Mus musculus: one gene and its partner. The protein of the gene in region 2 purifies or fractionates together with the protein of the main gene of each other region. This does not show direct contact. Links are inferred from orthologs where the notes say so. Each region holds a gene or a part of one and is shown on either strand. Other genes may lie near its edges. The genes, in order: Dync1i1 and Ndel1.

The links.
Region 1: the proteins of Ndel1 (region 2) and Dync1i1 purify together in Homo sapiens (affinity purification with western blotting; 3 studies listed by BioGRID and IntAct, with this or other methods). This does not show direct contact. The link is inferred for Mus musculus from reciprocal best matches to the Homo sapiens genes NDEL1 and DYNC1I1.

What each region holds. Positions count from the first base shown.
Region 1 is NC_000072.6:5,913,895-5,917,706, forward strand, and holds part of Dync1i1 (cytoplasmic dynein 1 intermediate chain 1), read left to right. Parts: intron 1-1,935; coding exon 1,936-2,035; intron 2,036-3,812. UniProt on the Homo sapiens protein: Acts as one of several non-catalytic accessory components of the cytoplasmic dynein 1 complex that are thought to be involved in linking dynein to cargos and to adapter proteins that regulate dynein function.
Region 2 is NC_000077.6:68,850,158-68,854,692, forward strand, and holds the start of Ndel1 (nuclear distribution protein nudE-like 1), read right to left. Parts: upstream 2,979-4,535; 5' UTR 2,785-2,978; exon of another isoform or gene 2,201-2,784; intron 1-2,200. UniProt on the Homo sapiens protein: Required for organization of the cellular microtubule array and microtubule anchoring at the centrosome. May regulate microtubule organization at least in part by targeting the microtubule severing protein KATNA1 to the centrosome.

The DNA of each region.
Region 1 (3,812 bases), on a different chromosome or scaffold from region 2:
TTGATAAAACATTCTCCTGTGTGGCTGGGGAAGATCTGGAGTAGATCTTCAAAATTGATTATTGCTGGCTAAGCAGGCAGGAACCTGAAAAAATAAACAAGAGCTAGATAGGGTAACAAGAGAGGTAAGAAGCAGTCTAGAAAGTGCATCTTCTTTTTAGTCCTATAAGGTTGTGCATGTGTTACATGTGCACATTATAGGAAATGCAGATGGCAAAGAGATTTTTACAGATAAAACAACCAAAATCTATTCAAAGAAACTGAGAGAGAGGGAGTCCACCCGACTTTCCCTGTAACTGTGATGTAAGTGTTAGAAAGGACAGGAGCTGCCAGCCATCACCGTGGGATGTCGGGTACCACTTTATAAGACTCTTAAGAAACGGACACTGTTGGATTGTTCCTATAGATTTCTTTTGTCTGGGAACAATGTGTGAAAGTAGGGTCACCTGCTTTTTGCATCAAATTTGATTTTTTTTTTTAAAGCTATATCTAAAATTCAAATTCAAACGCATTCTTAAAGGACAAAATGATATGGTTATGTAGCGGAGGCATGGTAATTGTTTACTTTCATGCAGTGTTCTGAAAACACTCTCAACAGTTTGGCATAGTTAAACTGTGCAGAGGAGATAAACAGTATAAATTTGCATGTTCTACCAATAATTGGCTTCTTTTAAAAGAGCCATTTCTAGTGGCTCAGTTGATTATAACAGTCTCCCTTCCTATCTGAGTACACAGCCCACTACAGTACTGCTTTTCTAACAGGACTTAGTTGCATTCATCTTACCTGTAGTGCTAGCACTGCCCGAGGATTAACAGGGGTCTAGGAGCCAAGGGGTGGACATGGAAACCTTGCTATGTCAGCTCACCAGAGGTTAGATAGTTTCTGAAGCCAGGCTACTGAACAAGAACTACCGAGGTGAGTAGTGCTGACGTAACGTAGTGGAATAAAGTGACTGGAAGGAGGGTGGCTGTACACTGGGTGTACTGGGTGACTGGAAGGAGGGTGGCTGTACACTGGGTATACTGGGTGACTGGAAGGAGGGTGGCTGTACACTGGGTGTACTGGGTGACTGGAAGGAGGGTGGCTGTACACTGGGTGTACTGGGTGACTGGAAGGAGGGTGGCTGTACACTGGGTGTACTGGGTGACTGGAAGGAGGGTGACTGACTCCAGGGCTGAATGGAAGTGAGGCAGTTTAGGCAGAATCTTTTGCAGACATTTGAGCAGGCATTTCTCAATTTAAGAACACAGGCCCTTGAAGGAACTGAATGACCAGTGCAGAGTTCTTCAAAGGCAGTACCAAGGTCAGTTGAACGTTAGCCAAATATACACTGGCCAACTTGCAGTCAGTCCTCGAGGCCCAGTGCTCCTTTGGTCAATGACTGACACAGTTAATGCCTGGCCCACTCTTGTGATTCCCCAGCTCTCTACCACACCTGTCTCATGGCAGAAATGATGACCTACTGTCTCTCAAGGAGTCAGCCACTAAGGCCAATCACAATTCACAGATAGAAACATGGATATCATTTGGGGTCTAATAGTACAGAAGATATTGATAACAAGAAACTCCATTCCTTTTATGCTCCTTTAAGAGCAGAGCGATTTAAATGTTTCTATTTAGTCTTAGTGTGTGTATAGTGTGGGTACTGAAGGAAAAGTGAGAGGCAAACCTTAGGAGTCAGGTTCTCCTTCTACTAGAGGATCAGAGAACTGAACTTTGGATAGCAGACCCACATAAGTATTTTTATAAGCTGAAACAAATTTGATATTTTACAGCAGGCTCAGAACAAATACTAAAAGCCTTTCTGAGCCGGTAGAAAGAGCCTTTCGTAGAAAAGAATATATTTAATTCATTTACTCATGATCATGTGCTACTGCCTCGACACAACTCTATCTTGGAACCTCACTTTTACCTCTGTTGCTTAACCTACCGTAGGGATGTGCAGGCTGGAGCCAACCTGTCTTTCAACCGTCAGTTCTACGATGAACATTGGTCTAAGCATCGGGTGGTCACATGTATGGACTGGTCTCTCCAGGTAAGAGTGCTGGCAGGAAAATCTTGACAAGTGTTTTAGTAACATTTATATGGGAAAAAGGATACTTGTTCTATTTTGGATATATTTATTACTCTATGACTCTGCCCACTGCTTTTGTTCACATTTTTTTCAAAAGTTTGGGGGCTAATTATCCATTCAGATATTGGTACTTATTAATTAATACACTCATAGAAAGGAACAAGCAGCCAGACCATTCCGTGAAGTAAGCTCTTCTACGCATAGTCACTGTTGGTTTCCTACAAACCAACTTGGTGAATGAACAACCTCTTGACTATACATGAGTCACTATGCCCAGCACTTAGCAGTTAAGCAATGTGTAAAAGCACACAGTTAAGTTGTGATGAAGTCAGAATTCGAATGCATGTGGTCTGAATTGTGAACCCATACATTTTTTATCTGTAAAGCTTACATGCCAAGCACTATAGAAACTGCCTTGAAAGTGTCAGATTATTTCACCGTCAAGAGAATTATATAAAGCAGTCACTATCAAGATTTGCATGCTGTAGCTGAAGAAACCGAGGCTCAGTAGATGCTGAGTAAGTCACTAACCTTCACTCACTCAGGGTACAGGAGCACTGATCTCAAACATTGCAATGCTCTACTCCATTGGTTTTAACTGCCCCCCCCCAAACAAAAACCAAAAAAACAAAAAACAAACAAACAAAAAACTTGCTCATGAAGCTGAAACAGAAGCACTTGAAGGTGACAGATGATCCAGACCGACAGCAAGTATTGTTTCAGAGTGGAGTGTATGAGGGGATCACTCTCTGGTCACATCTCTAAAGACAGACCAAGGCAAAGAAGGAGAAGGTGATGCAGTCAAATAAGCAAGTGATGATATAAAAAGAGTCTCGTTTAATGTCCTTGGGAATTGGGGGAGAGCATGATCCCCATAACTGTATGGTCGACAGCTACCACTTAGGTGGGGTCCTCTGCTCTTGCACCGTCTTTGGCATCCAAACAACAGAGCACAGAGAGTATGACTGTACTAAGACAGTCAAGCTTGCTCAGTCTCTCTGCAGTGTGTGGGTGGTCTGGGAGCATGCCCTGGTGTTCACAGAAATCAGATCCAAGCCCTAGCAAACACTTAGCTTGGAGTGTTCACTCATTCATGGTCTGGAAATCAGGCAGGAGCTTTATGTGATACATACCCCAACAAAGGCAACTGCTAGTGGTTCCCAAGTCAGCTGCTAACACTCCCCAAAAAGACTGTTGGGTACCCCAGCCTCTGTGTGTGTTTGCATGGGGTTATTTCCACAAAAGTTCCTCCCCATGGGACATTGTGTTAAAGGAAGTGATTCTCTGTCTTTTCTCTCCCTCTCCTTCCCTCCTCCCCTCCTCTTCTCTTTCTCTCTGCCTGTCTGTCTGTCTGTCTCTCTCTCTCTACCTCTCTCTCTCTCTGTCTCTCTCTCTCTCTCTCACACACACACATACACCTTCCTGTCTGTACTGTGGGAATTGATTTGAAATTGTAAAACATGCATTTTATAGAGATTTTTTAAAAAATATAATCCCTAAAATTCTGTGTCGTAATACTTTTGTGGGTTCAAAGAACCAGCTTTTCATGATTCTGAGACAAAGTGACACTTTGAATTGGAGTAGACACACTTGGACATAGTAAGACAAAAAAGAAGGGCTATGGTGTAATGGCAGCAGATATGCCTTGGAGTTTCTTGTGTGAAACAAAATAGAACCGCAGGGAGAAAAGGAAAGAACTGTGAGTGATAATTCTGCTTTATATTCTGACTTCAGTAGG
Region 2 (4,535 bases):
GCAGCTCATATATATATACATATAGATAGATAGATAGATAGATAGATAGATTATATATCTAGCTCCAGAGATTCAGATGCCTCCTGTCTCTGTGGACATTCCATTCACATGAACATACCCACATGCAGACACAAACCTACACAAAATTAAATATAATAAATATATCTACTTTTTAAAAGAACAAATCTGAGGGGACTAGAAAAGTGGCTCAGTGGCTCTTGCAGAAGACTAGAATATGGTTCCCCGCACCAACACAGGGCAACTCCCTCCCTCTAGCTCTAGCTCTTCTTCTGGCCTCTGCAGCCACCCACATTCACACATATAACACTCACACACAGAAATAAGGTTTTAAAAGAAAATTAATTTAGCCAGAAAAATCAGCATGCAAAGCTCAGGCCCTAGAGTCAAACTATGGCCTGGCTGAGAGACCTTGGGCAAGCTATTCAACTTCTCAGTGCCTCATTTCCTCACCTATAAAACAGGAAGATCAGTTGTATTTGGAAGATGAGGTGAGTTACTATTGGCACAGTACGTGTAACAGAGCCTGATGCATAAACATCACATAAATGTTAATTCAACTCTAAGAAACTACTAGGCCAGAAGTGGACCTTTAAGTTAGACCAGAGTAAACAGACTTCCAAATTTATAAGCAGATGACTCCTTTCATTACAAAAGCATCCCTAACGTCTCTCCTGGAACAAGCTTTATGCGCTAGACTAAAACAAGTTCTTTCCCTCCCATCACACGCTGTATCTGTTGCTTCCCGCCTGGCAGTACCCAGCTTTATCCCTACACCTATTCATCAACTTCATCCTTCTAAGAACCAGGTTCAAGTAACGAATGTGCTACCCTTGCAGGTGATCTCAAAACTGTGTGTGTGGAGTTTGCCTCCAGGTACTCGGAGAGGCTCACTGTCGCTTGAGATTACGTAAGTGGGGAAAGTTAGCCAATGTCAAATCTTTCACTGATTTAAAAAGTGCTCAAATGGCATATCTACAATCTTCTACAGCTGCAAGGCTAGCAGACAAGGACTTTCTGCTCCTCTCCATCTTCCTTAATTCTAGGTCTCACATGGAGTGTGAGTGTACAATTACAACTTCTGCAGCAGACATGCTCACACTCTACGACCTTTAGATGTGAACAACTGACAATTAGCTCACTGAAACTTTAAACAGTTATCATCTAACAGAGCTTACTGGCAAAGATACTCTGTACAGCACTAAGAAAATTAATTTTACATGACTATTAACATATATGCAGAATGAAATAGGCCTTATTTCTCTCCCTTATGAAGTGCCTAGAAAGTAATTTTAACTTAAGTCCTCAATCCTCAAGTCTATTTTAGCATGGTTTAAAATACGCATGAAAATAAATTTTGTTGGTCTCATAAAAGCATGTTCAGGTCTATTTTTTATTTCAAATGCTCTGGATCCAACTTCAATTCAATTCAAAACCAAGGCACTGCAGATTTAGCAACTTCTTCTAAGATTAAGTTTGTCTCTAACTGGAGCTAAAGGTTTTCTTTGTTCTTTATGTATTCCTACTCTAAGATTTTAACAACAATTCAGAAGAGATACCCCCAACTGGGTGTCCTTTGGTCTCTTTTGACTCCTTAACTTAATGATGAGCTTTGCCCTCTCAGCTTTCTGATTTGGCAGACATTACCCTACCTCTTAAGTGCAGTGAAAGCAACATAATTTTCAGACTAACAACCAGCCACTCATGAGCAAGCTTCAGGATAAGATTTTTCTAGTAACTGAGCTTTTGGGGGTTTTTTGTTTGTTGTTGTTGTTTGGTTTGGGGTTTTTTTGGTTTTTTTGGTCAATTTACTCGAAAATAAATAAGTCATCTAGTAACTTCTGGTATTATCTTTAACAAGTCCAATGTTCAGTCCTCTTTCCGGCTGAAGAAGTTAAAAAAAAAAAATCTCATGAAAACAGAAACCAGAACCCTGAGCTTAGAAAGGTAAATTGTAACCCAAGCTAAACTTCTCACCAGTTAGTGGAACCCAAATAAAAATCACTCAGTTGCCCCAACCTCCTGTACCTAGGTTCAATTTCCCCATCCAGCAAAAAGTGACTTACAGTATCCGTCGCAAGTACAAACAGCAAATGTTCTAAAATGTTTACAAACGCTACAGGAATGGGCCCGGGTAATGAAAAGGACCCTCACTCGCCTTAAACTTAAAAGTGTTAGTCACCTCATCGTTTCTCAGAGAAAAATAAGAAGCGAATCCAAGCAACCGGGGTCGGTTGGTTAGTGAGACTTTCCCCAACTCCAAAGAGGATGATTAGCAGTTCGGGGCAGGCAGTCACGAGACTGCCAGTCTCTGCCAACGCGGGCTGCTCCTGCTCTCGCCTCCCGCATCTGGGGCGCTGGGAAATCAAGATCCTGCCCGGCTCCTAACCACCCCGGCAGCTCCAGGGAATCAAGGATGGGTGGAGCGAGAAGCTGGGCGCGCCTCCGCCACCCCAACTGGGCCACTCCTCGAGCCGTCAGCGCCTCAGCCCCCGGTGCCACGTCCCGGCCTCCGTCCCTCCTCTGGAAGCCCGGGACTCGCTCTCCCGCAGGTGCCCCCGGTGGGCCACACCTCCGCCAGTAAGGAGGGGACAGTTAAAGCGGTTGGAACAGTTGTCTCGGTACGGGCCGCCCCAGAACCCAAGCCCGGCCTGGCCCAGCGGGCTGAGCCCCAGCCCGGCGGCGGTCAGGCAGGCTCCCCCGGGGCAGGCCTCGGCGCTGCCCGCCTGGCTCGAACCCCAGAGGCTGCGTCGCACGGGAGCTCACCGCCAATGTGTCAAAAGCGCATGTTCGCCGCCGCTCGGCCGACGTCTCTGCTCCGCTGGCCTGGCCAGGCCCGCCCAGCCGCTCAGCTCTGCTCCCTTCCGCAGCCCTGAGCTCCACTCCGCGTATCCCCGCACCGGGCTCCTCCCCGACACGTCAGGGGCTCCCTGGGTGTCGGAGGCCATTCTGTGACGCACGGGGGCGGAGTCAAGAGCATGCGCAGAAGCAGGCTGGCGTGCGGGGCGGAGCGGTGGGAGGCCAGAGTCACGTGGAGCCGACCTAGGCTTTGCGCGCTGACGTGAGATCTGCGACAGCGTCCTGCGCAGGCGCCGCCCCGGACCCCCGAAGGAGGTGGGTTTTTTAGCCCTGTGCTGTCTCCGGAAGCTGTGCTGCGCAGGAGAGTAGTTCCCTAGGCTAAAATGGGAAGCCAGTATAAAGCCAGTATAGAGTACTAGCTCACGAAGGAGACAGGAGAAATACACAACTGTCCTGGAACTAGAAACTTAAATTTAAAAAAGGCATTTGGGGAACAACTATAGGAACTTTAGCTGTCTCATGCTCAATGTAATTGTTATTTCAGTGCTGTTGGGATTGGTTTTGAAGTTTGAAGACAAAACAACATAGCATAAGACATATGCTGAGCCTAAGAAAGACAAGGTGAGCCCACGTATACGGTTGGGAAAGGTCAATATAAACAAAAAACGGTGCGAGATGGATTTTTAAGGAGAACCCAAACTGATGAGCAGAGGAAGATTACTGGGGTCTAGAGCGTCTTGAACTACACTATGAAGGATATAGGGTTTTTAAAAAGAGATTATGAGTTCACTGTGCGGTTTGTCGCGCCCGTAGTTGTACCAGTCACTGGGGTGCATTGCTTTGTCACAGTAACCCCACGTCACTCTCATTTACAAGTAAGAAATAGCAAGATGAAGTTCCCCAAGGTCACTCACCTACAGCGCAAATTCAAACTCAGAAGCTACACTGTTATCCACTACTACGCTGACAAGAAGGGAAACATAGGCTAGACCGTGGGGCTAAAGTGCCTTCCATACACTACTGTTAACCATCAACAACATTTGAAGCTGGAATCATTAGATCTATATTGTAACATAAGACTCAAAAAAAAAAAAAAAAAAGGTCTGCTTTACAGGCCAGTGGCCTGGAACAGCTTTGAAACTCAGTCTGGCTTCCCTACCTGAAACTCTGCTCAATCTAATCAGACTTAAGGCAGAGAAGTGATTAATGAAGGCTTTCCTATAGACCCGGTGCCAAGACAGGAACCGTCCCACCCAAACAGGAAAAGATAAAAAGGCCACAGCTTCTGTCCTGCCTCCTGGCTGAGGTGCTAAGAAACACACTGAGTCACCTAATGGCTGGCCAGGCCCTTCAGAAAACAGTGACATCATCTCCCAGGCTGCTGCCCCTCCCATTTGCTCTGCCCCTAGGACTGGCATCATCCCCTTCTTAATGAATGGGCTTAGCTTGGCAGAGCCCTCAGAAGCCAAAGGCCCTGCTCTGATCTTCGTTGGCCCAGAGGCTGGAATAGTACCCTAGAGTCAGCAAACTGCCCGACCTCCTTCCATTACACCAAATCCATGGGAAATAAATCAGTAAAGAAGATGACAGTCTCAAAAGGAAGCACAAGTTATAAAACTAGCATTGTAAGAGAAGAAAAGGTGAGAGCTGCTGTACCCTTCAAACTTTGTAAAGCATTCCAGGGCACTTCCCATAGGTTCCAGTACAAGGTCCTTTTT